3 linked regions of the Pelodiscus sinensis genome follow. The protein of the gene in region 3 interacts with the protein of the main gene of each other region in a pairwise test. Links are inferred from orthologs where the notes say so. Each region holds a gene or a part of one and is shown on either strand. Other genes may lie near its edges.

Evidence for each region. The genes of interacting proteins can lie anywhere in the genome.
Region 1: the proteins of SGTA (region 3) and SDC4 interact in binary tests that used the Homo sapiens proteins (3 or more experiments, as listed by UniProt). The two-hybrid records come from large-scale screens. The link is inferred for Pelodiscus sinensis from reciprocal best matches to the Homo sapiens genes SGTA and SDC4.
Region 2: the proteins of SGTA (region 3) and C1H3orf52 interact in binary tests that used the Homo sapiens proteins (3 or more experiments, as listed by UniProt). The two-hybrid records come from large-scale screens. The link is inferred for Pelodiscus sinensis from reciprocal best matches to the Homo sapiens genes SGTA and C3orf52.

Annotation. Positions count from the first base shown.
Region 1 is NC_134728.1:24,186,284-24,195,977, forward strand, and holds the start of SDC4 (syndecan-4), read right to left. Parts: upstream 3,898-9,694; 5' UTR 3,827-3,897; coding exon 3,743-3,826; intron 771-3,742; exon of another isoform or gene 1-770. UniProt on the Homo sapiens protein: Cell surface proteoglycan which regulates exosome biogenesis in concert with SDCBP and PDCD6IP.
Region 2 is NC_134711.1:156,898,589-156,908,913, forward strand, and holds the start of C1H3orf52 (TPA-induced transmembrane protein), read left to right. Parts: upstream 1-6,428; 5' UTR 6,429-6,550; intron 6,551-6,559; exon of another isoform or gene 6,560-6,902; intron 6,903-7,208; 5' UTR 7,209-7,282; intron 7,283-7,412; 5' UTR 7,413-7,423; coding exon 7,424-7,552; intron 7,553-10,325. UniProt on the Homo sapiens protein: Has a role in LIPH-mediated synthesis of 2-acyl lysophosphatidic acid (LPA). LPA is a bioactive lipid mediator involved in different biological processes, and necessary to promote hair formation and growth.
Region 3 is NC_134729.1:17,547,771-17,558,103, reverse strand, and holds the start of SGTA (small glutamine-rich tetratricopeptide repeat-containing protein alpha), read right to left. Parts: upstream 3,727-10,333; 5' UTR 3,570-3,726; intron 1-3,569. Other genes in the region: THOP1 (thimet oligopeptidase), read left to right, coding at 5,203-5,431, 6,989-7,137, 7,776-7,883, 8,859-8,961, 9,273-9,433, 10,298-10,333. UniProt on the Homo sapiens protein: Co-chaperone that binds misfolded and hydrophobic patches-containing client proteins in the cytosol. Mediates their targeting to the endoplasmic reticulum but also regulates their sorting to the proteasome when targeting fails.

The DNA of each region.
Region 1 (9,694 bases), on a different chromosome or scaffold from region 3:
AAAGCTTCCTCCAAAACATTTCTGGTTCTTCCATTGCAGGGCTCTGTGGGAGGAACATCCACGGACAGGATAGCATAGCCCTCAAGTCCCTGCCCCTTACACAAACACAAGAAAGAATCCATGTTCTGTGGAGTTCTAACAATGTGTTTGCAACCTCCCCCGATTTTGGATATAAAAATGATTACAAGCGACATGCTGTGTAATCCAGCATGTTGCACCAAACACAACAAAAGGAGACCAACTCCTGCCACACTAATCTAGATGCTGCATTACTGCAGAGCCCTCTCCTCACCAGGGACATGCCCATTACCAGCACTTCTCCTAAAGCAAACTTGATGCTGTAAGTTCAGCTACAACTCTAGCATACAGCCAAACTAATTAAGCACAGAGCAATACATAGTACCGAGTGTTCTGCAAACTCAGAATAAGCAGTTAGGGTGCTACCACACAGCAGGGCTTAACTCAAAATAAACTATGCAAATTCAGCTACATCAATTGCATAGTTTACAGGCAGTCCCCAGGTTACATACAAGATAGGGACTATAGGTTTGTTCTTAAATTGAATCTGTATGTAAGTCGGAACTGGCGTCCAGATTCAGCCTGTTGAAACTGATCAGTGGCTGATTCCAGGAAGCCCGAGGAACTGATCAGTGGCTGATTCCAGGAAGCCCGAGGAACTGATCAGTGGCTGATTCCAGGAAGCCCGGGGCAGAGCAACTCTGCCTCCGGCTTCCTGTAGTCAGCCCTTGGTCAGTTTCAGCAACGGCTGACTTGGGGACACCTGGGGCAGAGCAGCTGGGGTGCTGCCGGGTTGGTCCAGTAGCACCCAGAGCGGCGCTGCGGGACCAACCGGCAGCGCCCCAGCTGCTCTACCACAGGCGTCCGGAGAACAGCCTGGTCTTCTGGGGGGGAGGGGGGCACACTAGCTGCCCCCCCCCCCCCCCCAGCAGACCAGGGAGACGCGGGCGGTGGGACCAAGACACACCACGGTCCCGCCCGGGTCCTCCGCGTCTTTGCTCCCCATCTCCCTGGTCTGCTGGGGGGGGGGGGGGGGGGGGGGCTATCCCCCCAGCAGACCAGGGAGACATGGAGCAGCTTTTCTTGCCCCGGAGGACGCGGGCAGCGGGACCGCGGCACATCTGGGCGTCCTGCCGCTCCCGTCCTCTGGGGTGAGAAAAGCCCTGTTCATAACTGCGGATCCGACATAAGTCGGATCCACGTAACTCGGGGACTGCCTGTATTTCAAAATAGCACTCATTTCAAAATAGAGTGCTTTCCCCCCCCCCAACCACTTTCATTACTAATCATACAATGAGTGTTACAGGAGTTGGAGTCCTCCAGCCTGACAGTATTTTGACACTATTTCGAAATAACGGCCTGCTGTGTAGATGAGGACTAAGTTATTTCAAAAGAATGTTTCTGTGTAGACGTACCCTAAGAGATACAGCTATCCAGAAGTGTTTTCTTTGTAGGCATCTGAACTCTTTAGTGGTAGAAATGTAGCCGTGTTAGTCTGGTGCAGCTGAAACAAAAAACAGGACCGTGTGTCTTTAAAGTGCTACACAGTCCTGTTTTTTGTTTGAATGCTTTAGGACACTGCATATCAAACCTACAGCCCATTATATTCCCCAAGCACGCTATAGGGAATGTTAATTTCTTATCAAATGCAGTCGGAAAGCATTCAAAACCTGTACTGACCCAAGAAGCTTGTGTCCTGTGCTATGCTTAATGGCTTTAGTAGTTGTGGCTGCCATCAGGTTCTCACAAGGATCTCTACCTGATGAATTTACTCAGGCTTGCTGTTCATAAAGAGGGCTGATGCCAAATGTTAAGAGTAGACACTTCATGTATTCTGGTCTGAGAGTTTTCTTGCTAATCCAACAACATCTTGGATTAGACAGCAACAGCAAAGTTTCAGGGCAGAAACTTGAACAAGAGTACTAAGTAGTGACCTGCCTACAGAATCTCAGGCTTCATGTGAAACAGTAGGGATGATTAAATCTAGTTTTGGGATACTCAAGTCTCTTGCAACCTCCCCAGTCCTATTGCAGTCCCTATTAACCAAAATAAAAGCAAGCGTCAGAGGGGAAGCTTTTTTATTTTAGGGTAGACATAGAAGTCAAGAGCCTTGAAACCCCTCTGTCCAGAGGTTATATATATATATATATATATATATATATATATACACACACACAATAAAACTGGTGCACAGGGTCCAGGCTCATTCTGCATTACAAATGGCAGATCATCTTCCCTCCCCCAGAACACCTCCCTGGAAGTTAGAAAAGATCTAATGCCCATAAAATGAGGGGTCACAATAGAACTACATTTATTTAGATAAGCATGTAAAATTTCTGGTTACAGTGATTAGTGTTGTAAAAGGTATCTGAGCACCTTACAAGTTCAAAATAGGATACTCGAGTGATGGTTTTAAAAAATCCCATCCTCCCCAAGGCTTTTGCTCTTGCATACATCTTTGCTTCTTAATCCTAATCTACAGCCTTACTATAGAAATCCTGCCATCCCTTCCCCAAACGCTACCATTGTATTTCAAGCCTAATCTGCAACAATCCTGGTAGCCCACTTCTGAGCATCTCTGGTAAGAGCAGGGCCCATCCAAGGACACAGTAGTCACAGAGGCAGAATCAGAAGGGGAGAAGGCAGAGATAAAGGAACACAAGAGAAATAGCAGGTATTGTGGTAGATTAGTTAAAAGTGGAGATGGAGGATCCTGTGCTGGTGCAAAGGAGAGGAAAGGCATCTCTGATCCAGCAGAGGAAGAGAATGCAATAAGGATGAAATGAAAACAAGAATGTGGTGTAGAGACAGGCAAGTGGGGAGTTGACTCTGGGGCATAAAGGTCAGGTAGACAAGGCAAATGGTATTTGGAAGCATAACACTGCAAAGGCAAACAGAGCCATTTGAATGGCAAGACAAGAAAATGTTCCTCACTTATATGGCAATACATAACGAACAGTGAGTGGTTCAGAATCCATCAAGCCACACAAACGTATCACCAGCATTTTTTCTGATGGAAGCCAGCTACTTTCCGCCCTCATCCCCACTCCTTTCAATACGCAAGCCGACAGAACTAGAGACAGACTTAGATAAGCCTGTTCCTTCCTCCTACTCAAAGTTCAGAGGTGGGGAACATGGTGACCATATTTACGGCAAAGCCCTGCTACCAAGTAGCATGCCCCCTCCCTAGAAAATGGCTATAAGTTGCTTCAGGAGCAAGCGCAAAGTCATCCGGAAAGAAAGGCCTTTCAATTATTCAGAAAAGCCCGTTTCCTTCTTGATGAGCAAAGCCAGGGGTTCATCCATGACTCCCCCTGAAGAGGAATTCAACCTCGCTCGAGATCAAGAGACCAGGATGGAATCGGAGCAGTGCTGCTCTTGCCCCAGCTGGGCTATGGACGGGGGAGCCTCTAGGGAAGAAGCAGCAGCTTCTGATCTGGGCTTCCCCTGGGCAGCCCGAGATTAGCACAGGGCGAAGGAAAGCCCCAGCGGCGAGGCGATTGCCGCAAGCCGCGGTCGAGGCAGCCTGACTCACGCTCCAGCTATGAGGGCAGGGCGCTAGTGGCGCCACGTGCTGATGCTGGAGCCCGGGGCGGCCGCAGGAGGGCGGGCGCCGGGGCTGTCGCTGCCACCCCCGGGACGGGCGAGGGGGCCCCCACAAGCACAGGCGGGAAGAGGCTCCTGGGAGAGGACAAGCGGCCCCGCTCGGAGCCCGGGTACTCACCGACTCGGCGGAGGCGGCGGCCAGCAGGAGAAGCAGAGCGGCGGCGCCGAGCGCCCCGGGGCGCCTCGCTGACAGCGGCTGCATGATGCGCGGGGGACCAGGAGCGAACAACCAGGCGACTGGAACTGGAGAACCCGCCGCTGGGCCGCGTCTCTTATAGGCGGCCCGGCCCCGCCCCAGAGGCGGAGCGCGGAGCCCCGAGTGCGATGGGAAATGCCCGGGACGTGCCGCTCTCCCAAGCGCGCCAGGGGCGCTCCCGGCTACGAGAACCCCGCCCTGGCCCGGCTCCTCCCCGCCGCTCCCCAGCCCCCTCCCCAACTTCCCGGGGCCCGACACCGCCCTGTCCCCCAGCCGCCCTCCGGGGCCTGACACCGCCCTGTCCCCCAGCCGCCCTCCGGGGCCTGACACCGCCCTGTCCCCCAGCCGCCCTCCGGGGCCTGACACCGCCCTGCCCCCTTCCCGAGGCCCGACACCGCCCTGCCCCCATCCGCCCTCCGGGGCCCGACACCGCCCTGCCCCCTCCCCAACTTCCCGGGGCCTGACACCGCCCTGTCCCCCAGCCGCCCCAGTCTCTCGGGGCCTGACACCATTCTGGCCCCCTCCAACAGCCGCTCCCCTCCAGGGTCGGACTCTCTGCCCTGTCCTCCCCATCAACCTTCTAGGGCCGGACACTGCCCTGATCCCCCTCGCCCTCCTGGGGTCCGGCACGGCCTTGCCCCGCAAACAACAGCCCCTCCGCGACTCCCGCGGCGCGACACCGCCCTGTTCAGCCTTCCCCAACCTCCAGAGGTCTGTCACAACCTCCCGTCCCCCAAACGCCGGGCTGACACCACCTTTGTCCTGCATCCACCCAACTGTCTCTTTCCCTAGTGCCCTGTATTGCACCTCCCCATCATTGACCAATCCCTCCATAGCCCCCTTGCATCTCCTTCACAAAATGGCCCTATGTGCAACTTTTAACACTTTGTATTCACCCTTAAAGGCCCTGCCATCTCCTTACATCCTGCTTCCTGAATGTCCTTGGCATACCCACCCTTGTCCTTCTGCCCTCAGCCTGACCCTCTACCACCTTCCCATACACCCTCCCCTTCTTACACTATTAAGAACTTCAGAGACACATGAGAAAGGAGGGAAATGTTAAGTCAAATTTTTAACATTCCTTCCACTGTCTCTCTTAAAAATCAAGGTATGTAAGAGAAACCAGCATCATCGCATATATATAGTAGCCCAGTGTCTGAGTCTGTAATGCTGAAATGCTGGCTGTTCCCTCTGGGCGGCCTGTGCTGCATGGGTAGGAGAAGAGAAAGAGAGAGGCAGGAGGTGGAGGAAAGCTTGGGGGGGAGGCAGTAGGAGGAGGGGACACCCCCCCCCGCCCCTCCCACACACACAGAGAGAGAGAGAGATATCAGAGGCTCAGGTGAGAAGACCAACGTGGAGGAGAGACCTGAAAATCCCATTTTATGACGGGCTAATTGGCTAGTATATATGTATATATATATATATTAGCCCAGTGTCTGTGACTCTGTAACGCTGAAATGCTGGCTGTTCCCTCGTGGTGGCGCTGTTTCCTCCCTGGCTGTTCCCTCTGAGCGGCACTGTTGCCTGAGTCACGTCCTTTGCCTCCCACAGTGGCACTCAGCTGACTTCTGTGCCGCTCAGCCAGGCCACCGCGTGAGAGCAAGTGGCGTAAGCGGCCATTTGGGTTCCACGGTCCTCTGAGTGAGAGGCAGAAGGGGGAGGAGAAGACAAAGAGAATGAGAGGCAAGAGGGGGAGGAGAAGAGAGAGAGAGAGGCAGGAGGCTGTAGGAGGAGGAGAAGGAGAGAGAGAGAGAGATGGAGCAAGAGACCAGAGGCTCAGGAGAGAAGACCAAGGAAGTGGGGGAGAGACCTGAAAATCCCGTCTTACGACGGGCTAATTGGCTAGTACAAAAATACCATTCTAAACATGATTTTATATATATATATATGTAGGTATGGAATTTTTAAAAAATTCCTACTGTAATCCACTCCTTCGAAATTGCCTTCTCTACCTATCTTCTCTGGGTTTCTCCTGTGGATTATAAATCCTTCTAGATAAAGCCTGGCTATAGTTCTGGATCTGACACAATACTTATGCTACTGTTGGCAGTTAACAAATAATGGGTTATTGCAAAAGGGGTCAAAAGAAATATAAAAAACGTGCACCATGAAATAACAAAGTTAGTGACTTTATTTTCTGGGGGGGGGGGGGGGGGGAAGAAATGTTAAAAAAATAAGGTTGCATTTTAAGGGTACCAGAAATGTTCTCTTGGTCATTCTACTGAAACAAGCAGGGCACATGTTTTATTATAAGAATGAAGCCGGGATCCTGTAATCTGATTAATGCACTTAGACCCCTATGAGAATGAAGAGCCCTATTGATTTCAATAAGACACCACTCCAGCATAAGTGTCTAACTGCCACAAGGATTTAATTACAGATTCAGGACAATATCTGACTAGAAAATAAAAATCATGTTCTGTCCACCATTTCAGACTAAGCTGTGAAGGTTGGTAATGTTTCCAAGGAATCTTACGAGAGACAATCTTTATGCAAAATAATTTCCAGGAAAATCTATTTTGTCCCTGAACTACAACTGCAACTACAACCGACTTTTTAACACTGAAATTATATATTACAGTGCCTACAATATTTTGATAAACATGGAAATAATCTGTTACTTATGTATGTTAGAAGCAAACAGGTATTTAACTTTTTTTCTGGAAGCTTCACAGTAAGGCATTTAAAATGTATATCTGCTATTGATTAGTGCAGTGGAATTTTAAGGAATATTTTCAGCCTTCAGGTCAGATATTTTAAAATAACATTCTTTCAATGCTAATAATATCTGGCACAGGTAGCAATTTGAGCTTGATCCCACTATGAATCTCATGCAAGTGCAGGACTTTGCTTGCATGCAGCTCATTGCAGTTTGGGTTTTAGGTAGTTTTTGCTTTTAAGGTGCAACAAGTATTACCATAAAAACGTGGAATCCATAAAAGAATATGCATAAGTAACATAGGTCCAAAATGTAGGGTTTTTTTTAACTTTTACAGAATCTGACATGAATACAGATGTTTGTTACATCTGATGAAAAAATGAAAATAGTTTTCAGTTTGAATTTAAAACTGCTACTGCTGTATTTGGAAACAGGAACATTACATCACTCAATGAGATGCTAAAAGCAAAACTGCTTGATTAGTTTTCTGTATCTTAAGCAGAGGCAAGTACAAACAGACATTGCAGATGGTAAAAAGAAAGACTAAATAGTTCAGTTTTAATCAATTCAAAGTATTAATAACCCAAGTAAGGGAATTTGTTTATGCTTTTTAACCTGACAAGGTCCCTTTAAATAAGAACCTCAGCTCTTTGTAACCAAACTGATAAAATCTTTGGCCCAGGCTTACTCAAAAATATAATGGGAAATGAAACTTGCCTTTAATGTGTTTTCCAGCCTTCAGAGTAAATTTGCATAATCCAGTAATGACAGACTTCTGAGCACATTTTGTAGATTATATTTTCTCTTTTTGACATGTAAGTTTACTTTCTATTGTCACAAAAAGAAACTGCATGGAAATACAATACTAAAAATCTTAACACTGTGCTGTGAATTCATAATACAATATTGCTTGGTTCATTTGCCCTTCAAATGTCCTCTTTCAAAATGTTTACATTTTACTCTCAATAGAACAATCCAGGAAAAAATCTTGTTTAGCTGAGACTCACTGAGAGCAATAGAATAAAATGGGCTCAGAGAAAATAAGTAACTGAAATTTTCTCTTCTGAAATCCACTACCACTGGCATAAAAAGTCACATCTCAATGTTGTGATTTGATCAGACTAGTGAATTATGACACTTTTAGGTACCGTATATTTCGGCCTTTGTACAAAAAAAAGTTACAACTTTCAAAGAAATGACACAAAAGTCAGCTTGGCTCATCCTCTGTTGTTCCAGTCCCATTACTTAATAATGCACTGTTCATTAAATCTTAAAATTGAATCATAATTGTGGGTAAAAAATATCTGGAAAAGTTAATTCACTTGTAATTCTTCGTCCACACCAATGATAGAGAAATAACCCTAAGAAGTGCAGTTGACTCTGGGTAATCTCCACTGAAACAAATTCTCAGGACATCTTACATGTCATGGGCACATTGCCACTTCTCACCATCTGGTGCTCTTTGGGTACGTCTAGACTACATGCCTCTGTCGCCAGAGGCATGTAGATTAGGCTACCAGACATAGGAAAATGAAGCGGTGATTTAAATAATCGCCGCTTCATTTAAATTTACATGGCTGCCGCGCTGAGCCGACAAACAGCTGATCAGCTGTTTGTCGGCTCAGCGCGATAGTCTGGACGCACGGGTGTCGACATCAAAGGTATTTGTCGACCACCCAGGTAAGCCTCCTGGGATGAGGTATACCTGGGTGGTCGACAAATACCTTTGATGTCGACACCCGCGCGTCCAGACTATCGCGCTGAGCCGACAAACAGCTGATCAGCTGTTTGTCGGCTCAGCGCGGCAGCCATGTAAATTTAAATGAAGCGGCGATTATTTAAATCGCCGCTTCATTTTCCTATGTCTGGTAGCCTAATCTACATGCCTCTGGCGACAGAGGCATGTAGTCTAGACGTACCCTTTGTGTCCCAAGGGTATAGCCATAAAACTGACCACTGTTTCGAGAAATAAAGGATTTTGATCCAGGAGGGAAGAGCTGTTGTATTAAAAGGTTGAAAATAACTGTCTCCCATCAGAAACTGGTAGTATTTCTATGGGACTCATCCCCCAACTCACATTCCCTGAAAACGGCTTTCTCCCCTAATGGGCTAAGATTAAGAAATAGTATTTAAAATGTATTGCTAATTTACCCCAAAAGTTCCTGTTTTTGAAGCTCACATATGTCCTTATCCTTCCTTAAAAACTTGGAAAATTAGGTGTGTAAATACTGCACATTTTGCCATCTGTTCACTGACATTTTCTCCAAATGTGGAAGGAGGATAACTCAGGCACTCTCGCTGGGTAATGAAGCCACTGAAATGGAGCGAGCCTCATGGAAGAGGAAAGGTTGGTTTAATGAATGAATGTAAATCATTTGAACATGCAACATGCCTCTGACTAAGAAAGGAAATAAGTTTGGATCTGTTATGCTGCTCCTAGGCTATGCAGCTGACACAGGGTATGTCTACATTGCATTCCTCTTTCGAGAGAGGAATGCAAATGCAGACGAATGAAATTGCAAATGAAGTGCGGATTTGAATTTCCCGTGCTTCATTTGCATAATCGCGTCCGGATGCTTTTTTGAATAACCCTGTTTCAAAAAAAGAAACACTGTCTAGACGTGGTTATTTCGAAAGAACACCCTTCTTTCGAAATAATCCTTACTCCTAAAAAAACTAGGTTTAACGATTATTTCAAAAGAAGGGTTTTCTTTCGAAATAACCGCATCTAGACAGCATTTCTTTTTTTTAAATAGGGTATTACGAAAAAGCGGCCAGACGCAATTATGCAAATGAAGTGCGGGAAATTCAAATCCGTGCTTCATTTGCAATTTCATTCGTCTGTATTTGCATTCCTCTCTCGAAAGAGGAATGCAGTGTAGACATAACCTCAGAGACCCTTTCTTTTAATTACTTTGGGGCTGAGTCTCTTCAAAATTCCAGCCCAGTTACATTCAACACTCTTCTTTTTCTGAGGTGACTGCTGCTTGGTGGACCACTGTCCAGTAGCTGTGCAAGTGGAAGTCTTGTGATTTTTATCAGAGATTCAAATTCTATAACCTCCAAAAATGTCTTTAGTATCAGATGGTTTCTATGATCACAAGCTGAATCAGAGAGCTGCTTGCTAAGAGTTCTAGCTGGGTTACTATAGTGGATTGATGGGAGATCAGATTATTATATAAGCATTTCCAAAGTCACCACTAGCATAGTATTTG
Region 2 (10,325 bases), on a different chromosome or scaffold from region 3:
TGAATTTTTAATTCTTAAACTTATGGGTGAACTCAAGGTGGAATTCCTTCTTTTCATCTTTCTTTTTGTACTGCTCTATGATCAGCTGCTTGTTCAATGGAATGATTCAGACAGGAGAGGTAAGTCGCTATTCACATTCTTCTCGTCTTCTTTGCATCTCCTTGTTGCCATTGTGTTCCATTTAGATTTGTCAGGATTAGTTTTTATTTAATAACTAGCCAGTTAGCCTGTCATAAGATGGGATTTTCAGGTCTTCTTTCTTGAGCACTCTCGCTCTGTCTGTCTGTCTGTTGCTCTCTCTCTCTCTCTCTCTCCCCTCCTACTACCTTCTTCCCCCTCCAGCTCTCCTCCGCCTCCTGCCTCTCTCCCCTCTCCGTTTCTCCCTGCCCCCCTTCCCCTTCCCTTTTCCTCCCTCCATGGCAGCTAGGCTGAGTGTTGCATGCTCAGCTGGGCCGCCGCGGGGGAGGAAGGGTGGGGCGGTGATGTACACTGCCAGGGGATGGGGTTGTCTAGTCACCGCGCCCCCTCCCCCCTGTGGCAGCCCGGCTGAAGGGCGCACCACTCAGCAAAACGGCAGGAGGAGGAAGGGAGGGCCGTGAGGTACACGGCCAAGCCCCCTGGCCGTGTACATCACCGCCCCACCCCCCATCCTGTCCCAACGGGGCTCAGCAGAGCGGCGCAGCACCAGCCCCACTCTGCTGGGCTGCAGCCATGGAGCAAGCGGCAGCAAGCTGCCGTTTGGGGTCCGGCTGCGGCCAGTGGCTGCACCCGCCTCCTCACCAGGTCTGCTTCCCCCCCCCCTCCTCCCGTCCAGCCCCACGGCCCCTGATTCCCCCCCCCAGCTCTGCTTCCCGTCCCCTCTTCCTGCCGGCCAGCCACATGGCCTCCTGGACACCCCCCCACCTCCCTCCCGCCAGTGCTGCTTCCCTTCCTCTGGGACCCCCCATCCTCCCCTCCAGCCCCACAGCCCCTGATCCCCACAGCTCTGCTTCCCGCCCCCCTTCCGGCCAGCTCCGCCCCCTTCCCCTCCTTTTGTGGTGCCCCATCACCTTCCCCTCCCTCTGTGGCACACTGCCAGGCCCAGCTGAGCGGCGGCCACTTGCCACCCTGGGCTCAGCTGAGCGGCGCTCCCGCCAGGGGAGCACTCGGCGGCAAGCATCCGTTTAGAGTCCGCGCTGCACCCCTCCCCCCTTGCCAGGACTGCTTCCTGCCCCCTCTTCCCGTCCAGCTCCACAGCCCCCGATCCTCCCCCCAGCGTTGCTTCCCACCCCCTCTACCTGCCAGCCAGCCCCACGGCTCCCTGGACACCCCCCACCAGCGCTGCTTCCCTTCCCCCTTCCTCTGGGCCCCTCCCATCCTCCGCTCCAGCCCCACAGCACCTGATCCCCCCCCATCTCTGCTTCCCACCCTCTTCTGGCCAGCCCCCCTCCTTCCCCTCCCTCCGTGGCACCCTGCCCCCCCTTCCCCTCCCTCCATGGCATGCTGTGGTGCTCCTGCCGGGCCCAGATGAGCGGTGCTCAGCTGGGCCCCGGCAGGGAGCAAGTGGCGGCTGGAGGGGAAAATGGGGGGGGGGGAGGGGCCGGAGGAAGGGAGGAGGGAAGCAGCGCTGGGGGGGGGGAGTGTCCGGGGGGGCCATGGGGCTGGCCGAACTGCCACGGAAGGAGGGAAGGGGGGCGGGGCGCTGACGTATACAGCCAGGGGGCGTGGCCATATACGTCAGCGTTATAGACTCACAGACAATGGGTACTATATATACGATGTGGATGGATTATATTAACATTTATTATAAGCATTTTCTATTTCCACTCGTTTTAAATTTTCACATGGGAATGTCTGACAATAATCGCGTAATGACCATAGATATTGAAATTCAAACACTTAAAGCTTTCTAATAGTTTTAAAGCAGATTGTCAACATCATATCACACAAAGAAAATATCCTTAAATCAAACTGTAATTCTCAAGCAGCATTTTTCTTTCTTGCCTATCTGTAAGTTTTATTATTATTGGGGAAAATATTTTTTGTCAGTTTATGGAACATGTATTCAGAGTAACATTTACCCTCATTCACTAATAAAAATCAAATACTCCCTAACCTAGTTCTATTAATTTGCATTCTTCAGTTGTCTTGGTTGTAATGAAATGTTACAACATGAACTGGGTGTATAAACAAATGTACAGCCACTGTCCAGAAATAGAAAATATTATAATTTGAGGGAGAAATTATCTGTTGTTCATGTGTTATATAATTACAGTGCGATATGTTTGTTATAATTACTGAGCTGTGTCCTTTGCTTTAGGGTGATTCTGGAGGTCCATTGGCCTGTGTAGGAAAGGGAAATCGATGGTATCTTGCTGGTATTGTCAGCTGGGGTGAAGGATGTGCTCGACGTAACCGCCCTGGTGTATATACAAAGGTGACAGAGCTTTATGATTGGATTCGTCAGTACACAAACTGATGTGCTTAGAAGAAAACAGGAGACATCATTTTTACTGGAGTAATCCATGAAATACATGTTTTATAATGAGATAAGGAAACTAGATGTTTGTGCTGAAGTTTATGTTTATATATATATTTTTTAAGACATAAAAATTGGTAATTAACATCTCTGCATGTTGCAGAAGCAGTTTGAATGGAAAGTAACTGTTTCTCCATGGACTCATCTTCATTTTCTTCGTCACCAAAAATGGACAAACAGGGTTGGATGAAATAATGATGGATTGGAACCTTGAGCCAAAGTCCAACCAAAGCTTGTTGGATACTTGGATAATTCCTCTCCAGCCCTAGCATACATAAATATGTATATACATGCACACTTTATGCAGTGTGTTTGGGTTTCAAATGGGATCAAGGGTGGTCTTTTCATATCTGGTCAAAATACATACACTACAAGTCAGGGTGGTATGCAAAAGTGGGTTAAAAGTTTTTGGTCACAGTGCTGCTATGGAGAACTGCTTCCTCCTGTATTGTGTTTTATAGGAGCCCTCAGGTTGCTCTATCTTAATACAGATTTGATAGTCAGGAGAGGCCAAAAACATAGCTCAGGTTTGTGATGTAGGCACTCGCATTCTGGTAGCCAAGTGCCCTTTCTTTGTTAAGCTTACTAGCAGAGAGGGTGTTTGGCATTCAAGATCAAAGATAACACTAAGCTGCCATGGCCCTTCCATTTTCATGATCCTCTCTGGGCCGGTAAAGACAAACATAAGATCAAATTCCATCAGTAGTGTAGCACAAGTCAGTCACATTGAACCTGAAGTTCAGACCCTAATCATTCCAGGACTGAAATACCATTGTTGGTGTCTTCAGAGGGATAGTATTTTAGAACAGGAAAAAATCCTGAGTGTATTAAGAAGAGCTCGGTTCAGTTAAAGGAAGATGGTGAGAGAATTTTTTTTCTTTCTGGTCCGAACGAAAACCTACATGCTCAAGCTCCCTTGCCACTATCAAATGTTACACTATATAACCTCAGTATAGTCTCATGAGCTGACAGGGGGGCTGACAGTCTTCCGAGGCCCCTTGGCGTGGTGATGGCAGTGGCCCAGCTCCATGCTTCCAGGCAGGGCAGGGCCTCGGGCAGAAGTGGGGTGCTGGGGCAGCCAGCCCTCAGCACCCCCTGGATTGTGCCAACCCTCCTACCAGCTCTTAGTGCCGCCTGGAGCATGTTTTCTGACACCGCAGCAGCGGTTTAAAGGACTTGGGCTCTGGCTGCTGCCTCAGAAGTGTGAGCTGGGAGCCCTGGGCACTTTTGAATTGCTGGGCTCTGAGGCAGTTAACTGCTCTGTCCCCTTCCCCCGTCGGCGGGCTTGTTGCTGACTACTATGGTATTAGCCTTATTCAAATTAACTCTTGTGGATATGAGACACTAATAAGAGGCTTATCATGAATTATCTCTTACACAGAGAGAGACAGGAGCTTTACTGCATGATATTTGAAACCCCAAAGATTAGAGTACATTTTAATAAGAATCTGTACTTTTGGATAGTATATGTTGCAGTCAAAACAGCTTGAAGTACACCTGGATCTACAGTAGTTGTTACTCTGTAATTATTCTATCTGCTCAGGTTGATGGTACATAAAACCTCGGAGGCCCTCGCAGTGTATCGGGTATACACTGGGAGGCAAGGCTGAAAGTGATTCAATACACTGGGAGGCTAGCCCTGATTTATCCTAATAACCCCTCAGATACTTGGAGAAAATGCAAGGGGAATTTTACTAGCTTAGAGGAAAGGTTGCAAATGCTCTTGGTTCAGTGGCTTCAACAGTGGGAAAAAATGTGGTTCTTATTTGGGCTTACTAAATGGCTTTTCAGGCAAAGTGTTTAGGGTACGTTCTCCAGTGCAGTTCCTTATTAAATGCTAATAGGACTGTCTAGTTGTCCAGGCCAGGATCAGGGAGTAGTGTGACTTATTAGAACCCCTTTACGCTGGTTCCCTGCCCAGTCTCTGCCGCATCCAGAGCCTGGCTGCAACATCTGGTCATCACACCCTGCTCCATATATGGTTTCCCAGATCCAGCTGTGGCCTGCTCTGCAGAGGGAAGCTGCCAGGCAATGGTGTTCAGGCAGCTTCCCTGCTGCTTCTTCCCTACTATGCGGTTGTCACTTCCCCAAGTACCAGATTATTTGCTGCTTCATTGTCTCTCATAGTTGCTGCCACTTCTCCCTATTGGCCAGTGGGAAGGGATGAATCTCAATGTCCATCCCAGAGAGTCCTAGATTGGGGAGGGGAGAGTTGATAGAAATGGTCGTTTCCTGCTCTGCAGATTGATCACAAGGGTTTTTCCTCCTCTCAGTAGATAGACCCAGACTGAGCCTTCCATAGTTGTCTAGAGGATTGAAGCAAATGTATCATTAAAATTAATGGAACGTATGTCAATATCTTGTTGTTTTAGGTTTTCAGACCTGAGGTAACATGATATGGTAGTTGACGACTTGGATTCCAGTCCCTGCCCTGCTTAAAAACACACGCATGGTTGGGTGATATGAACATGCCCCTCACAGTGCAGCCAGCTCTTGTGATTTTTTTTTTTTTTTTGGTCATGCGTGATGGGATTTTGGCTGGGATGGAGCCAGTCTTACAGATGCAAGTAGCTCAAGCCCTCTAGTATATTTTGAGCCTTCTGAGTGACTACTCTTCCCCAGGAGGTGGGCAAAGGGAGTGGGCAGCCAACCAGAGCTTCTGAAGGCAGTGCGCTGTTTCCTCCTCCTTCATCCCCTCTGTGGCAACCCAAAGCCATTCTGATAAGAGGTCATGGGGAGGAGGGAGCAGAAAGGCAAGTTCAAGGCTATTCCACTGCTTTTCTTCCCTTCCTTCTGCAGCACCTGGCATTGGGGCATGTAAAATGTGAACGGGGTGGGGAGGCTGAAGCTTTCCCTCCAACCTGAAAGTGGCAAGGGGTACCCCTTTGAAGCCACCCCACCCTTGGGTGAGGGTGATGAAGAACCCACAGAGGAACAGAGCAATGGCTGGGTTGAACTTAAGAGCAAAGTCTGCCAGGGATACAACTGGTATCAACTGAGGGAACAGATGTGATTCAGAGGCTGGGGGCAGAATGAATTACTGAGCAGGGCTTGGGCTGATACGAGGATAAGAGTTCCTGCAGCAGCAGTCACAATCAGCTTACGTAACACATTTAGGAAAGTGGGTAAGGTAATTGTGAAACTCCCTGTCTCGTTTTTTCTCATGCTCTTGTTCTTGAAAGTGTGTGTGGGGGCAGGGGAGTAGTCAAAGACTGAAACCATTATGCAATCTTTTTTAAAATTCCTCATATTTTGACTCCGTCTAATTATTTGTAATCTCTCCTGAGATTGGCAATATTACCTTCATTTATTTTTAACTCAGTCTGACTCATTGTACAGTATGTCGGGGGAAGGCATTCTGTAAATTACATGTAGGTACAGGAATGAATTTTATTATTGTCCGCATGTTACATCATTCTTGTATTTAAGACTCATTTTTAAATATAATTATCTCAGTAAAGTGTGTGATGCTAATTCCAATTTTTATTGAATGTAAAATCACTATCCTAACCTCTAAATATATTAAAATTCTAAAAGTATTTGACTAATGTATTTTTTTCTTGAATTTTCATTCACTTTTTCCTTTTTAATAAAATGGGATGACTATTTACTAGTTTGACAGGACTGCTGAAATGAAGTAATGCGCTCAGAACTGCAGTCACAGCCTTTAAGCTGTAGATGAGTTCAAATCAATGGATTTAAATAAAGTGAAATTGAGAGGTACTTAACCTTCCAAACCTTGAGTTTGTTTTTACTCCATATATTGATAAGACTGTGAATATTTTCACCACAGAAGGACATTGCATTCCTACCGTTTCAGTTTAGATATGACTCTTGGCCACAAAGTTCAGATCCAGTTCTCAAAATTACATACGAGGGTGTGGCTTCAACACCAGGGTTTTAGTTCAGCCCATTACATATAGAGTGTGTGTGAATGTACAGTATGTGTGTGAGAGGGAGAAGCAACCATCAAGTACAGATCTGGGTGCAGACTTTAGAAGCTAGTGCATTGGCAAACTCTGGCCTTGAAAGGTAATTGAAACTGGAATGCTATTTTCATTAGGCTTACACAAGGTTAATGATTGCAAATCTTAACAACAGAAAGTGTACTGTTGACTTTTCCTACTTTTCTAGGAACTGGTGGATTAAGAGCAAAAGGAGCTCAGATCCCATCAGGAATATTTTGAGACCTTTCCAGGAGATGCTGGGTTAGGTGATAGCTACATGAAACAAAGCCATGACCCTGGGTTCTAGAGTTTAAGGATACTTCAGACCTGAACTTGAATGCTCAGACTTACTTTGTCTACTAAACTTTTTGGTTTCTTTTCTTTGGAAGAAGTGCTGCATAAATATAAGCTTGCTTTGGTTCCTTTGTATTTTGCAGGTATGGTGTTACATACGTGTCCTGTAATTCTAGTTAGACCAGTGACAAGGATATTGCTTGTTTGCCTTGACTGAAAACACTGTTTTCTCTTCTGAGATGAAGATAATTACTTCCTCTGCTGACTTTGTTCCTTCTGCAACCACCATGTTGCCTCAGGTTCACTTAGTTGCTTGTGTTGGTGAAGGGCTGGTGTAGTAACGTAACCAAACTGGAAAATCTAGTATGACACAGCCTGAGAATAAACACTTAGGTTTCAAAAGTCTTAAGCAAATCAGTACTTCTCTCTCATTCAATTTTTTTTTTCAGAGGATACACTCCCAGTCCGCTCCCAGCTCCATGGGATTTCCCTTGTTTACTCAAGTTGCTGAGACAGTTTGCTTGTAAGTTATGCTGACCCTGGTTGCTGACATCTCAAACCTTGTCCCTGGCCTGTCATCAACATTATAACAGCAGAAACAAGAAAGAAGGGAGAAGTCTCGATTTTTGCCTTAAAGTCAAAATTTCTTTCAGAAGTGGAAGTTATGAATGGTGGTGTTCCTGACCATGAATATCAGGTTATTGAATTACAGGAGGAGAGAGGACTTGAGGAGGAAAATGAAGCAGACAATAATAAGATACCTCTTAACCCTGAAGCATCTGTAGCAAATAAGGTAAGACTCACATTCATTCACTTTGTGTTCATTAGCATGTTACATAAACATTACACAGTAACTGAAATAACTGAGGAGCATTTTGGTGGAGTAAGTTGCTTTTACTGTAAAATTTATTTAGATTTTTTTGTTGACTTAAAGTTAAATGTCAAAAACACAAAGATAAAAATCAGATTTATTTCCCTCTGCTGTTCATGACAGCTGATTGAAATAGGGTATTTAAAATCTAACTAATTTACCATTTTAATTTGTTTGTTCGTTAGCATTTGTAATTTTTGTTAGTTTTGCTTTCACTTTATCATGCTGATTGCAATGTATGAATTGCAGTCACTAAAAAGGGATGTTGGAATCCAAATTAAAAGGTTTTTCATTTATAAAAGAATTTAAAATGCCAGGAAAACACTACTGCTAATATTAGGATTTGTTTCCTTTTTAAAAACGTTGTCCTTTTCCACAATCTAAACTTTGGACCAAAACTACTTAGTGCTTCTTCTTCTCTACAAGTGTGTAGTATGAGCAAAAGAAGTAATAGCGGATATAAATTCTCTATCCTAGGGTATTAACATCAGGTGACAATATCCCTCTCCTGGGATTGTGAGTTTCTTTAACTTGGCTAAAATGAGAATAGAGCTGTTAATAATAATGCCCATGCTCGTAATTTGCAATGTGCTAATGATGATTAATGTGTGTGTTGAACACGTTACACATACATACCGTAAGATTACTCCTAGTCAAAGAGCTTAGTCTAAACACATGAAAAGAAGTACCTTCTCCATTCTACTGATGTAGAATTCAGACACAGTAAGAAAGGCCACAAAGGAAGCTTCTGGTGGAGCTTTCTAAATTGAATCCAGCATCCTAAAACCCAGTCTAGGGATTTACCCACCTGACTCCTGTGGTTAATTTTTGTGTAGATATGTACATCTCTGTCTGCACTGGCGAATCAGGCATTTAGCTATCAAAATGATCAAAAGTGTGATTGAAAATTGTTTCGAACACAGTTACTCTCCCTTTCTTTTACTCCAGGCTCCTACTGCACAGAAATCAACACTACTACACAGATCAAAGTGTCGGTAAAATTATTCATTGTTTTCAGTAGCTACATTTCCTCCTTCATCATTGACATAGGGTTTTCTTACCTAAGTAAAGAGGGTTCAGTGGTAGGGAGGAATCAGAGATTTGAGTGCGAATTTTACATCAGATCTGGTGACACTTCTTTTAACAGAGACAGTATTCTGTAATGGTCTGAGCACAAGGCTGCAAACCTCAGTTGAAATCCAAGCTTTCATGTCTGTGCCCTTGGGCAAGTATCTGCCTCAGTTTCTTTTGCCCATTAAATGGGTATTGTGCCTCCTGACTTCATAAGAGTGTTGTGAGAAATCATTTAATACACTAATATCAAGCATTAAATTATAAGCTAGACACTCCCTGATTCTTCTTTTAATCATAAAATTCCTATTAATTTCACTGTAAATCTCGTGTTTCAGTAGCACAACTCAGGCAGCTCTTGTTCCCCATCTCTGAGTTGGGGGAACCAGCATGGCTGGCAGGTATTGTAAGTAGGGGAAAGCATTGCCTTCTCAAACTGCCTCACCAAAAATAGTACATCCTATGTGTGCACCTTACTCACTATTCTCCTTTGCTCACTTCCTGCAACCTGTCCCAAAAAGTGAAAACCTATCTGGACTTTAAAAAAAAAAACTTTCAGACATCAACACCTTAACATTCGTGATGCTCTAGTTAACAAAAGTGATTTCTACCTCATCTCCTAACAACCCCCTCAAAATTTCTTTCTACTATTTACTGTGAGTGTTTGCATATAAGGGGTATGTGGACTGAAAATTAAAAACTTCATAGGTATGAATGTTTTTGTAAACTTCTCTATAAATACGTCTGGTTTAGAGAGATAGCAAACTGTGTAGCTTGAGGAATCTATACACTTGCTAAACAAAATGATTTGGTTCAAGAAACTTTGAAGCTATGGTGGATAATCAAGTATAATATTTAGTTTTGATTCAAGAGTAGGAAGTTTATAAGTGTTTCAGGCTGCCAGTCTGCATGCAGAAATTCCACATTATATACCTAATAAAACTCCATACATAAATTTAATCTCCTTGAATTGTATATCATTAGGAAGATGTTACCCAAGCACTATGATACATATACGATTTTCCTTGGAATTCTGTGACATGGATTGGCAGTGCTACAAAAACAATGTCTTGCATAATTTATTTCACTCAGATGACCCATAGCGCTGAGAGGTCGAGTTAAAACAAGAGATGTAAATACCTCTTCTCTTACCTACATTTAACCTCATTACACACAACTCAGGCAGCTCTTGTTCCCCATCTCTGAGTTGGGGGAACCAGCGTGGCTGACAGGTATCGTAGGTAGGGGAAAGCATTGCCTTCCCAAACTGCCTCACCTAGCCCTGCCCATGCTCCACCGGAGTCCTCCAAACCTACACCCCAAGCCTGCTGTTGTGATGCCAGAGACTGGGGCAGACAAGTTAGGGTTCTGCTGCTTGTCCTCCCAGCATTGGGACTACTTTGGCTGCGGCTGCCTTTCTGGTCAGGGTTCCGTGCATCAGGGCTCTAGCCCCTGTGCCATGACTGCTGTCTGTCTCTCCAGACCTTCAGAGTTTGGGCAGGCTGAGGCCGCACTGCTTCCTGAATCTCTGGGACTCTGAAGCTGGGGGGAGGCTGGGGCCTACACTGATATGCAACTGAATAAGGAAAAGGAATCACACATGATTTTCATAAATAATATATTT
Region 3 (10,333 bases):
TCCTTCTCAGACCCCACATCCTGTCCTGCACCCAAATCCCCTACTAGGGATGTTACATTTAGATTAATCAAATAGTGGAGAGGATTTCCATCAGCTATATGATTAGTCTATAAGGGCGCCTCCGTCTTTGAACTGCAGCAACTGCCGGACTCTTGCTACTGTTCAAAAATGAAAGCCCCACAGGGAGTGTGGGGCCAGCGGAGGACTCCTGCTGGTTCCCTGAAGAGCCTCAGCTTTTGAAATGTACTAGAGCCCTAGTGAGGCTCTTGTACATTTCAAAAGGAAGCCCCGCAGGGAACATGGGGAAGTGCCCCACACTCCAGGTGCTTCTTCAGTCCCAACTCATGCCGTTCCCCGCTGTGCCTCTACCTCCCCTGTCCCTCATGGAGATGGTGCTGGGAGGGAAACCAGCTTTTAAGCTGGCTCCCCACAACACCGACTCCTGCTCCCCTCAGTTGCTGCCTCTCTCTGATAGAGGCAGCAAGTGGGGGAAGCAACTAGTCACATCACTAATCAACTATCCAATAACCATAAGCTTGTCGATTAGTTGCTTACATCCCTACTCTGAGCTCCCTTCTGCACCCAACCTCCACCCCAGACTTACTCCATAGAAAAGTGCGGCCCTTGACCACTTACCAAAATCATGGCGTGCCCCTCCCCTATCAAAAATTATTGCCCACCTGTGGCCTAGGCAGAAGACACTTGACAATCTAGCCCGACCCCTGCTCGGTACACATACGACCATTTCAGAGATGGGAAACTGCGCGCAAGAGGCAGAATCCTTTGCCCAACATTAATATCAGAGCTGGAAATAATTCAGGAAGACCGCACTGGGAGTCATGTGCCAGTCCACTATCACACTTCCCACCATGCCCTGGATATCGCTGGCTCTTATACTTCTCGACCCGGTTAACAATAAAAGACTTAGTTCAGCGTTAGAAGAAGTTCTGCACAGATGATCAGGCAGTTAGCGTGGGAGCAGAGAAAGATTCAATTTAACTTTGCAGAGTCTAAATTTAAATAAGATGCCAGAAAAAAACAACAGTCACCTGCAAAAGTAACCCTGCTAAGCACCAAGCAGAGCAGAGTGGGACAAGTTGATCTCCAAAGTGGGAAGAAAATAGGTGAAAGTTTCATGTCAAACTCATGACTTGGGGTCACACCCGTCAATGACAACTAACACCAGGAACGGTTAACGTAACATTTAACCAACTAAGCAGGATCCTGGGTGGGGGAAATCGCTCTAGCCCAGCTAAAGCAGCCTCCAGCCTGCAGGGCTCCTGCTCCCAGTCCCTGCCACCCCACCCCCGTTGGGGCCAGGTGGGGCTGGAGCAGCCCTTCTCCCATGGGCTGCTCCCTGGGAACTGGTTCACCAGTTACCTGTTCACATCCCTACCAGCAACCAAAGTCCCCTATCCACTAAAGACAGACAAAGCATGTGCAGCAACAGGACAGGTTTCCCCATGTGCTTTCCCTCCCCCCGGCAATGAACGTTAACCCTTACCTATTTTAAGTAGAAATCCACCTATAATTGAATAACTTAATCAATCAGTAAGATACTTATACCCATTGGCAAGTCTACTTGCTCCTCAGCACAGAGGAAGTCTGCTCAGCCTCGCACTGAATGGAATTAAATGATAGCACATCCAGAGACATTAAATAAATCAGCTTTGTTAACTAAAGCAGAGGTTCTCAGACTTCACTGCATGGCAACAATAAGTACTACATGATCTCAGGAGTGGGGAACCCAAATTTAAGCCCACCTTAATGGACAAAGCTTTCTGGGTAACAGTTATCTGTTGCCTGGGAGCAGGCCAGGGCCTGTCACAGGTGAAGGGCTGGCTGCCGGCTCCCAGCCCACGGGGGCCAGCATGGGGTGGAAGCAACCAGCCTGACACAGCCCCTACCCATGGGCCGCTCCAGCCCGCCCACCCCCATTTAATCAGTTAACAGTTAAGCTTAACATTTAACTGGTTAACGAATTAAAAAGGATTTTGCATCCTTACACTAAACTTCAGGAAAGTTTCAAATCCTACTTCTGCTTTTTCATACAGAATAGCCCCCCCTGCTTTTACTGAACTATGAGAACATATAATGCTATCACCAGTGCCCAGAAACTCCCGCAGGATATACTTTTTTTCCCAGAGACCCTCTCTACACTATAGGCTTCTGCCAGCATAGCCATGTTAGACAGAGGTGTGATCCTTGACTAACCAGTGTCCTGGAAGAAGCCCTTAAGGCAGATACTTGAAGTAACTGCATGCTTACCGGTTTTGTCCGAGTGTGAGTGGAATAAGCTAGACCAGTATAAACTGCATCACACTGGCAGCACATTGCTGGTATAGTATACCGGTATCCATACACCAGTAAGGCACTCTTAGCTTAGACATGGCTAAAACAGGTGTGGGGAACCTGTTTCGGGTCAGAGGCTGCTGATGCACAGAAAAATCAGTTGAGGGCCACACACAAGTGAAAAGCAAAGAAAAAAACAAAAAACAAAAATTGATTGAGGAGAAAGACATTCCCCACATTCCTCTCCCACACTAGAGTTTAGGGGGGCCTGGCTAGCAGATTTTGTGTGCTCCAGTCCTGTAGGGCAATGGCGGGGGAGCTGCAGTGCCAGCATGAGTTCCCCAATGTTGGGGGGAGCCCTGAGGGTTGGATCCAAACAAGCTGGAGGCTGCCTCCGGCCCCCAGGCACGAGATTCCCCACCCCAGCTGAAAAGCTCACTCATCATTTTTGACAGGAGACGAAAAACCCATCAGACCTTCCACCGTCACTTTTGCTTTCAAGTTAACAGACCCAGCTGCCAGCTGCTATTTAAACCCCAAATAAAGCAAAGTCCAGGCCAGCAGCCACCTTCCTGAAAGAGCTTTTATTGGAAACAGTCACCCCAAGCCAGTTTCAACAATCAGCATAGCCCCTGCTTGCCCCCCAGCCCCCAAACCCCGCCCCCCCAGCCCCCAAACCCCGCCCCCCAGCCAGCCCCCAACCCCCCCCAGCCCCCAAACCCCGCCCCCCAGCCAGCCCCCAACCCCCCCCAGCCCCCAAACCCCGCCCCCCAGCCAGCCCCCAACCCCAGCCAGCCCCCAAACCCCGCCCCCCAGCCAGCCCCCAAACCCCGCCCCCCAGCCAGCCCCCAAACCCCGCCCCCAACCCCCCCAGCCCCCAAACCCCGCCCCCCAGCCAGCCCCCAACCCCCCCCAGCCCCCAAACCCCGCCCCCCCAGCCAGCCCCCAACCCCCCGCCAGCCCCCAAACCCCGCTCCCCCCAGCCAGCCCCCAACGCCCCCAACCCCCCCAGCCCCCAGCCAGCCCCCCCAGCCAGCCCCCAACCCCCAAATCCCGCCCCCCCAGCCAGCCCCCAACCCCCCGCCAGCCCCCAAACCCCCCTCCCCCCAGCCAGCCCCCAACCCCCCGCCAGCCCCCAAACCCCCCTCCCCCCAGCCAGCCCCCAACCCCCCTCCCCCCAGCCAGGCCCCCAGCCCCCCGGGCCAGGGCCCAGCCAAGCGCCCCAGAGACAAGGGGGGGGCGGAGACTGAGCCCCCCCGCGGGCCCCGGCTACTCACCAGGCGCCTCCGAGCTGCGTTCAGCCCCTTCACCGCCAGGCGCACGCTGCGCACGCGCGCTAGCCCCTCCCCCTTACTGCGCAGGCGCCAAGGCTTCGGCGGCGCCGCCCTCCATCCCCACACTTCCGCCGCTCGCAGCGACTCACGCGCCCAGCAGCGGGTCCGCCCATGCCAGCCAGCGAGCATGCGCAACAGGCCTCCCCTTCCGCCCCCGCCAGACGGAAGCGGAAATACGCCATGGGGGCGGGTGAACCAATGCATTGTGGGATCGCTCAGGCAGGGCCCCTCTTCCCCGCGATTGACCATAGAGACGTAGCGCGGGAGGGGGCGCTAAGGCAGCTCCCCCCGCCCCCGGCTGGCCCCGCGCAGTCCTCCACCCTCCCAGAATCCTTCGCGCTGCCTCCTTCTCTCCTCCCCGCCGCCCCCCCCGGCCCGCGTGCTCGGGGCTGAGCGTCAGTGGCTGCGGCGCCTCCTCCCGCCCCCCCATGGCGCCCCCCACAGGTACCGCCCGGCTGGCGCGTGTGGGGCGGGGAGGGGATATTTGGGGGTGGCAGTGGGGGTGGGGTGATGGGGGGAGGGGATATTTTGGGGGTGGGGGTGGGGTGATGGGGGGAGGGGATATTTGGGGTGGCAGTGGGGGTGGGGTGATGGGGGGAGGGGATATTTTGGGGGTGGCAGTGGGGGGGAGGGGATATTTTGGGGGTGGGGGTGGGGTGATGGGGGGAGGGGATATTTTGGGGGTGGCAGTGGGGGGGAGGGGATATTTTGGGGGTGGGGGTGGGGTGATGGGGGGAGGGGATATTTAGGGGATGGCAATGGAGGGCTGAAGGGGTACTGGGGGAGGGTATATTTAGGGGGTGGCAGTGGGGGCGGGGTGATGGGGCAGTGAGTGGATAGGGAGGTGGGATATCTAGGAAGGGGGCAAAGTCTAGAGTGGGGAGTAGGGCGGGGGCATGGGAAGACGATGTGGAGTTGGGGGGCAGTGTGGGATGGAGGAGGAGGGAGGGGTGGGGAGAGCAGGTAACTCTTACGTGTGTTGGAGACAGTGCTTGGGGAGGTGGGGCAGGATGCATGACTGGGGGAATGGGGATAGGAAGGTGGGGGCAGGGTGCATGACCCTTAAATATCCCCCTACAAGCAAGAAGAGGTTCCTCCCCAGGTTTGCAAAGCTCTGCCAAGCCGGAATGAGTCTCAGAGAGAAAGCTCACCAGCATGGAGTTACTCCCAGCACCGGGAGGGTGGCAGCTCTGCTGCTGGGTCTGCTGCAGTCACTTGTCTTCTCATTAAGCCTATGCTGAGTGTTGCCTTCCCAACATCTGCCTCCTCCTGCACCAGTTCTCTGGGTTCTTTGTGTGTTACTTCCCCCACCCCGAAACCAGTGTTGCAAGGTTCTGCCACACATCTCTGCCAGCCCTTCTGCAATAGCAAACCTGATCTAGGGCAAGCTAATTAAGGAATCAAGTTTTACCCAGGAGTTGCCATACATAGGAGGCATAAAGTGTTGCAACTGTTCTTTTTACTCTTTGGTTCAAACAGATCAGGTTCTCTTCTGAGCTCTGCGGTATTTGCCGTACCTGTCTCTTGAGTCCCTGTGAGTTAGTTCTCCACCCTCTTCTAGGGCAATATCTGAGAGATGGATCTCTTTCCAACCTATTCAGGTAACGTTGTGGACAGCCAGTCCCACAGACTCCCAGTGAATCGGCTAAGATGGGACCTGACAGCAGAGCAAATAGAAAACATGACCGTGGAGCTCCTAGAGAAGACCAAGCAAGTATACGACCACGTGGGCTCCCAGGAGCAGGGGGAGGTCTCCTATGAAAATACTCTCAAAATTCTAGCTGATGTGGAAGTGGAGTATACAGGTATGTGGACAAACAGGATTTGGCTGTTTCTGGAACCCTTCTAGCTTTTGTTAGTCGCTGAGTGGTTTTTAGATCGTGTGCGTCTCTGGTCAACTGAATCATTGGCTTTTCCTTGTGTAACTCCATTAGCCTGTCTTACCTGGAGGAAATGTAGGGTTTCTACACAAGCGTGTAACTTGGAGAAATAGGATGAAATTGGATGGGCAGGGATCCAACTGCTGTGCTCAGTGCCTCTGGGCAAGATGGCTGGCAGGAAGCCCCCGGAGGGGCAGGACCTCACACGGAGGGGGCAGAGCTGGGGGCGGCCAGCCCTCCATGCTGCCTGGACCACAGTGCTCCTCCCCCCCCCCCCATTTCCCCAGCACTGCCTGGATTCTGTGGTGCCCCGACCTCCCAGGCAGCCCTGAGAGCTGCCTAGAGCACAGTACTCCAAACGGTGATTTAAGGGGCTCCAGGCAGCAATTTAAAGGGCTCCTTTGAATCACTAGATCCCAAAGCATCTGCCTCCTTTGTTTCCCACCACCCCCAGTCTGTGGATGGGGAAACAAAGAATGTCGGGAAAAATTGGCCCATTGGTGACTTCGGCAATGGGATGGTTTCCAAGCTGGAAGCCCCGCTAGTTGTGATTTTAAAAAACAACATTTAAGACGTTGAAGTTGCCAATTGCTTCAGTATCTGGACAAAAGGCTAGGCGATGTGCTGTAGGGATCAGCCATGTGTTGGCAGAGAGATGACTGGGTGACGAGCAATATTCCCTCTAATCTTTTCCGGCCACGTGTGCATTTTTTTCCAGCCATGTGCGGAATACATTTTTATGCACGCTGGGGCGTGTGCGAATGTGTACCCCCCATAGAAACACAAACCTAGCTGTGGGCAACCTGCTAATGAGCTGGGCAAGATTTGAACCTCTCCCCAGCTTGCACACTGATGACCAGTCTGGGCTTTTCCAGCTGTAACTTCTATGATCGGGTGTGGGAGGAGCAGGCATGTGTGTGTCTGGTTCCTTTTCCTGTGCAAACAATTTATTTCTCTTTACGACTCCAGCTAAAATGCTCTGAAAAAGTAACACCATGTTTGTAAAGGAAGCTGGCCCAGAGGGTAACACCTGTTTTCTGTGGTGCATAAATCCTACAACAGTATCTTTTCCTCAGTCTGATCACTAGGAGTGTGTCTAGACTACAGGGTTTTGTCGACAAAAGTGGACTTTTGTCAACAAAACTATAGAGGGAACATTGGTCTCAGGCCATTTTGTAAGGGACAGGTGTTATCAATGGTATTGCTAAATAGAGCTGTAGGGTTGTGAGATCCTATCCGGAGCAGCAAGAACTTGCAGTGTAGAGTTGACCGGCAGATCTGACTCCAGGACCTGTGGATGATGGAGCTCAGTGCTAGAGAGGGTTGTTTCAGGTTGGGTGTGGGGCATGTCGGTGGGAGTGGCTTGCCTTGCCCCCGCCGATTGGGTGCATGTCAGGCTCCGGGTTGTGAAACTGCCGCCTACTTCCTTCCCTAACCTGGCGGCTCCAGCTATAGTCTGAGCTCCTGGCTTTGTCGTTGCAGTTCAGAGGAACATGCTGGACTTCCCCCAGCACGTCTCCCCTCACAAAGATATCCGCACGGCGAGCACGGAGGCGGACAAAAAGCTCTCGGAGTTCGATGTGGAGATGAGCATGAGGCAGGACGTGTACCAGAGGATCGTCTGGCTCCAGGTTCGGCTGGGGAGGGGTAACCGGCGTGGCTCAGTGCTGAGAAGATGGCAGGTCCAGCATCCCAACAGGGAGTGTCTGCGGGCCTCCCTGTAATTTCCATGAGTGCCTCTCCCTACCACCTTTCCTGTTCAGTTGAGAGCTAAATTACAACACGAAGGCAATGTTGTCTAGTAGTTAGAGCAAGGGACTGGGGATTCGGGGCTTCTGGGATGCAGTCTCACCTCTGGCTCGCTGTGTGACCATGAGCACATCCTGTCCTTGTGTGCCTCAGTTTCCTTCTGGGATCCAATCTCAGACCAGCTGTGTGACTGTGAGCCAGTCCTGTCCCTTTGTGCCTCAGTTTCCCCCTCTGTAAAAGGAGGCTGGTGACATTGCCCTACATCCCATAGAGGCCCGACATCGGCTAGCAATTTGGGATGGGCTTTGAGACCCGTGTTGAAAACAATCTAGTGGGGACCAGTCTCTTGAATCTGACTCTTCTAGGGGGCTGTTTTCGTCTAGTTTGGGGTCTGCAGACATTGACACCCTCCAGCCATAGGACCGACGCAAACAATGTGCTGTGGTTGTGTGGCGGCTGTAGATTAGCAAACGCCACGTCCTGCCTGTCGGCTCCCGACACTCCCCTTTCTGTTTGACAGGAGAAGAGGGAATCTGCTTCCCTGAGGCCTGAAGCCAAGAGGTATCTAGAGAGGCTGATCAAACTGGGTAAACGAAATGGCCTTCACCTCCCGGAGGAGACGCAGGAGGTGAGTCTATCACTAGTAACCCTCAGTAGCTGTACAGAGAGATCTGACGGCTAAATAATAAAGAAAAGTTATTTATTAGTTCCCTAAATAGAAGAACTAGCGGGTAGCAGGTTTAAAACTAATAAAAGAAAGTTCTTTTTCACACAGCGTGTAGTCAACCTGTGGAACTCCTTGCCAGAGGAGGCTGTGAAGGCTAGGACTATAATAGAGTTTAAAGAGAAGCTAGATAATTTCCTGGAGGTTAGGTCCATAAAAGGCTATTAGCCAGGGGATAAAATGGTGTCCTTGGCCTCTGTCTGTCAGAGGCTGGAGAGGGATGGCAGGAGACAAATCGCTTGATCATTGTCTTCGGTCCACCCTCTCTGGGGCACCTGGTGCTGGCCACTGTCAGCAGACAGGCTACTGGGCTAGATGGACCTTTGGTCGGACCCAGTACGGCCGTTCTTATGTTCTTAGACTCTCAGCCGGGACCCTGTCATACCGGGGAGCTAATCTTTATTCCCTGTGCGATCCTTGGTGGGGAGTCACAATAGGACATAGCTGCCTAGGGATGAATCCAGCCCAAAAGCGGGGCAGAGCGTCTGGGGAACGGCGAGCGGATTTAGCTGGAGTGTCACATGTTGAGTAGGGTAACTCACATGGGCCTCATTGCAGCAGGTAGGAGCTAGCAGATCAGAGGGGAGCTTGACACCAGGTTTAAAACAGACAAGCAGAGGGAATGAGATCTGGACAGGCCTTAGACACCCGCAGCTCCTTGAACTGTCCCCAAATAGCCCAGCCATCACGCCAAAGCCCCGGCTCCCCCCAGGCGTGAGCCGCAATCGCCTGTCCCCCCGTTGTGTCTGTGTCTCTGCACGGCCAGCTCTGTTTGGGGGGGGGCATGATCAGCCTCTAGGGGATGGTGCAGAGCTAACTCTGCTCATCTTCCTCCCGTCTGATTTAGTTTTGTCTGATTCCGCGTGTGTCTTTTTAAAGAAAATCAAAGCCATTAAGAAAAGGCTGAGCCTGCTGTGCATCGACTTCAACAAGAACCTGAACGAAGACACCACCTCCCTGCCCTTCTCCAAGGAGGAACTGGGTAAGGGCTGTTCTGGGACGGAGGAATCTGGCCTGCTGGAGCCTTCGGGCAGATTTACTTCCCTTGGTGCTAAGTCTCCAGGGATGCCCCTTCTCTGAGCTCGCTGGCTAAGGGCCAGAGCCAGCGGAAGCAACTGGCAGCTGCTGGTCTGGGCAGCAGCTGAGTTGCCATCGAAGCCCCGTTTGGCCGGTGCACTCGCCAGTCGGCAGGCCGATGTGCATCCTCCTGCTTCCCGACGGGGCTGCCCAGCGCGCACGGCACGGGGAGGGGGTAGGGGGGCTGCAGCTAGCGTCTGTCTCCTCCGCTCCCAGGCGGGCTCCCTGACGACTTCCTGAACTCCCTGGAGAAGACGGAGGACGGCAAGCTGAAGGTCACCTTGAAGTACCCGCACTATTTCCCCCTCATGAAGAAATGCTGGGTGCCAGAGACGCGGCAGAAGATGGAGGAGGTGTTCAACTCCAGGTGCAAGGAGGTAGGCAGGGGACGGTCTGGAGCCAGAGCGTGCAGACCCGCTAGGCTGGAGAGCAACAGCCTCCCGGACGTGGGCATCGGGTCGGAGCGTTGTGATGGCGGGGACAAGGCCGAGGTCACAGCAGCCCAGACCAGGGCCCACTGAGCAGCCTCGGCAGAGAAGCCCAGGGTTAGAATGGGCGGGGGCTGGGGGGATGCCCCGGCCTAAGCTGTAGGGCAGGGCTACTCAACACGCGGTACATTGGTTTGCGGCCCGTGGGGCGGTTTGGGTTTACGTGGGGCTCAGCACACGGCCTGTGGGCATCCTTTGAACGTGGTCCGCCCCGGGAACGCGCCCCCACGACGGCGAGGCGTCTCCCAGGCGGGGCGAGCAGTGAAAGACGCAAGGGGACGGGCTGGCAGGAACAGACGGGTGCAGGGTGTCGGCGTTTCTAGCCCCGGGGAGGAGGAGCCGGGAGCGCTGGGGCATTGTGGGACGGGCTGGCTGCTTAGCCTTGTGGGCAGAGCCAGAGAGGTGCCAGCTGGCTCTCACTAGCCACGTTTGGGTCCAGCCCTGAGGTTTAAGGCTTAATCTTTCTATTCGTGCCCGTCAGTGTGAAAAGCTATTTGCATATATTTACATATATATTTGCACCTCTATGCAACCCCACTTAAGTTGCGGCCCTCGGCATGTATCGCGGCCCCTGGGGCTCCCAGTGGAAAGCCCTGCTGTAGGGGAAGGAGTTGCAACATCCTCCAGGTGCGAGGGGACGTACGAGCCGCCGCTTTCCCGGGAGGGCTGCTCTGCTCCCTCGGACTTCGTGCCTCCGCCCTGCTGGGCGTTTCCGGCTCCGTGGGCTGAGCTCTCCGTCCTGCTCCCTTGCAGGAGAACAGCTTGATCCTCAAGGAGCTGGTGGACCTG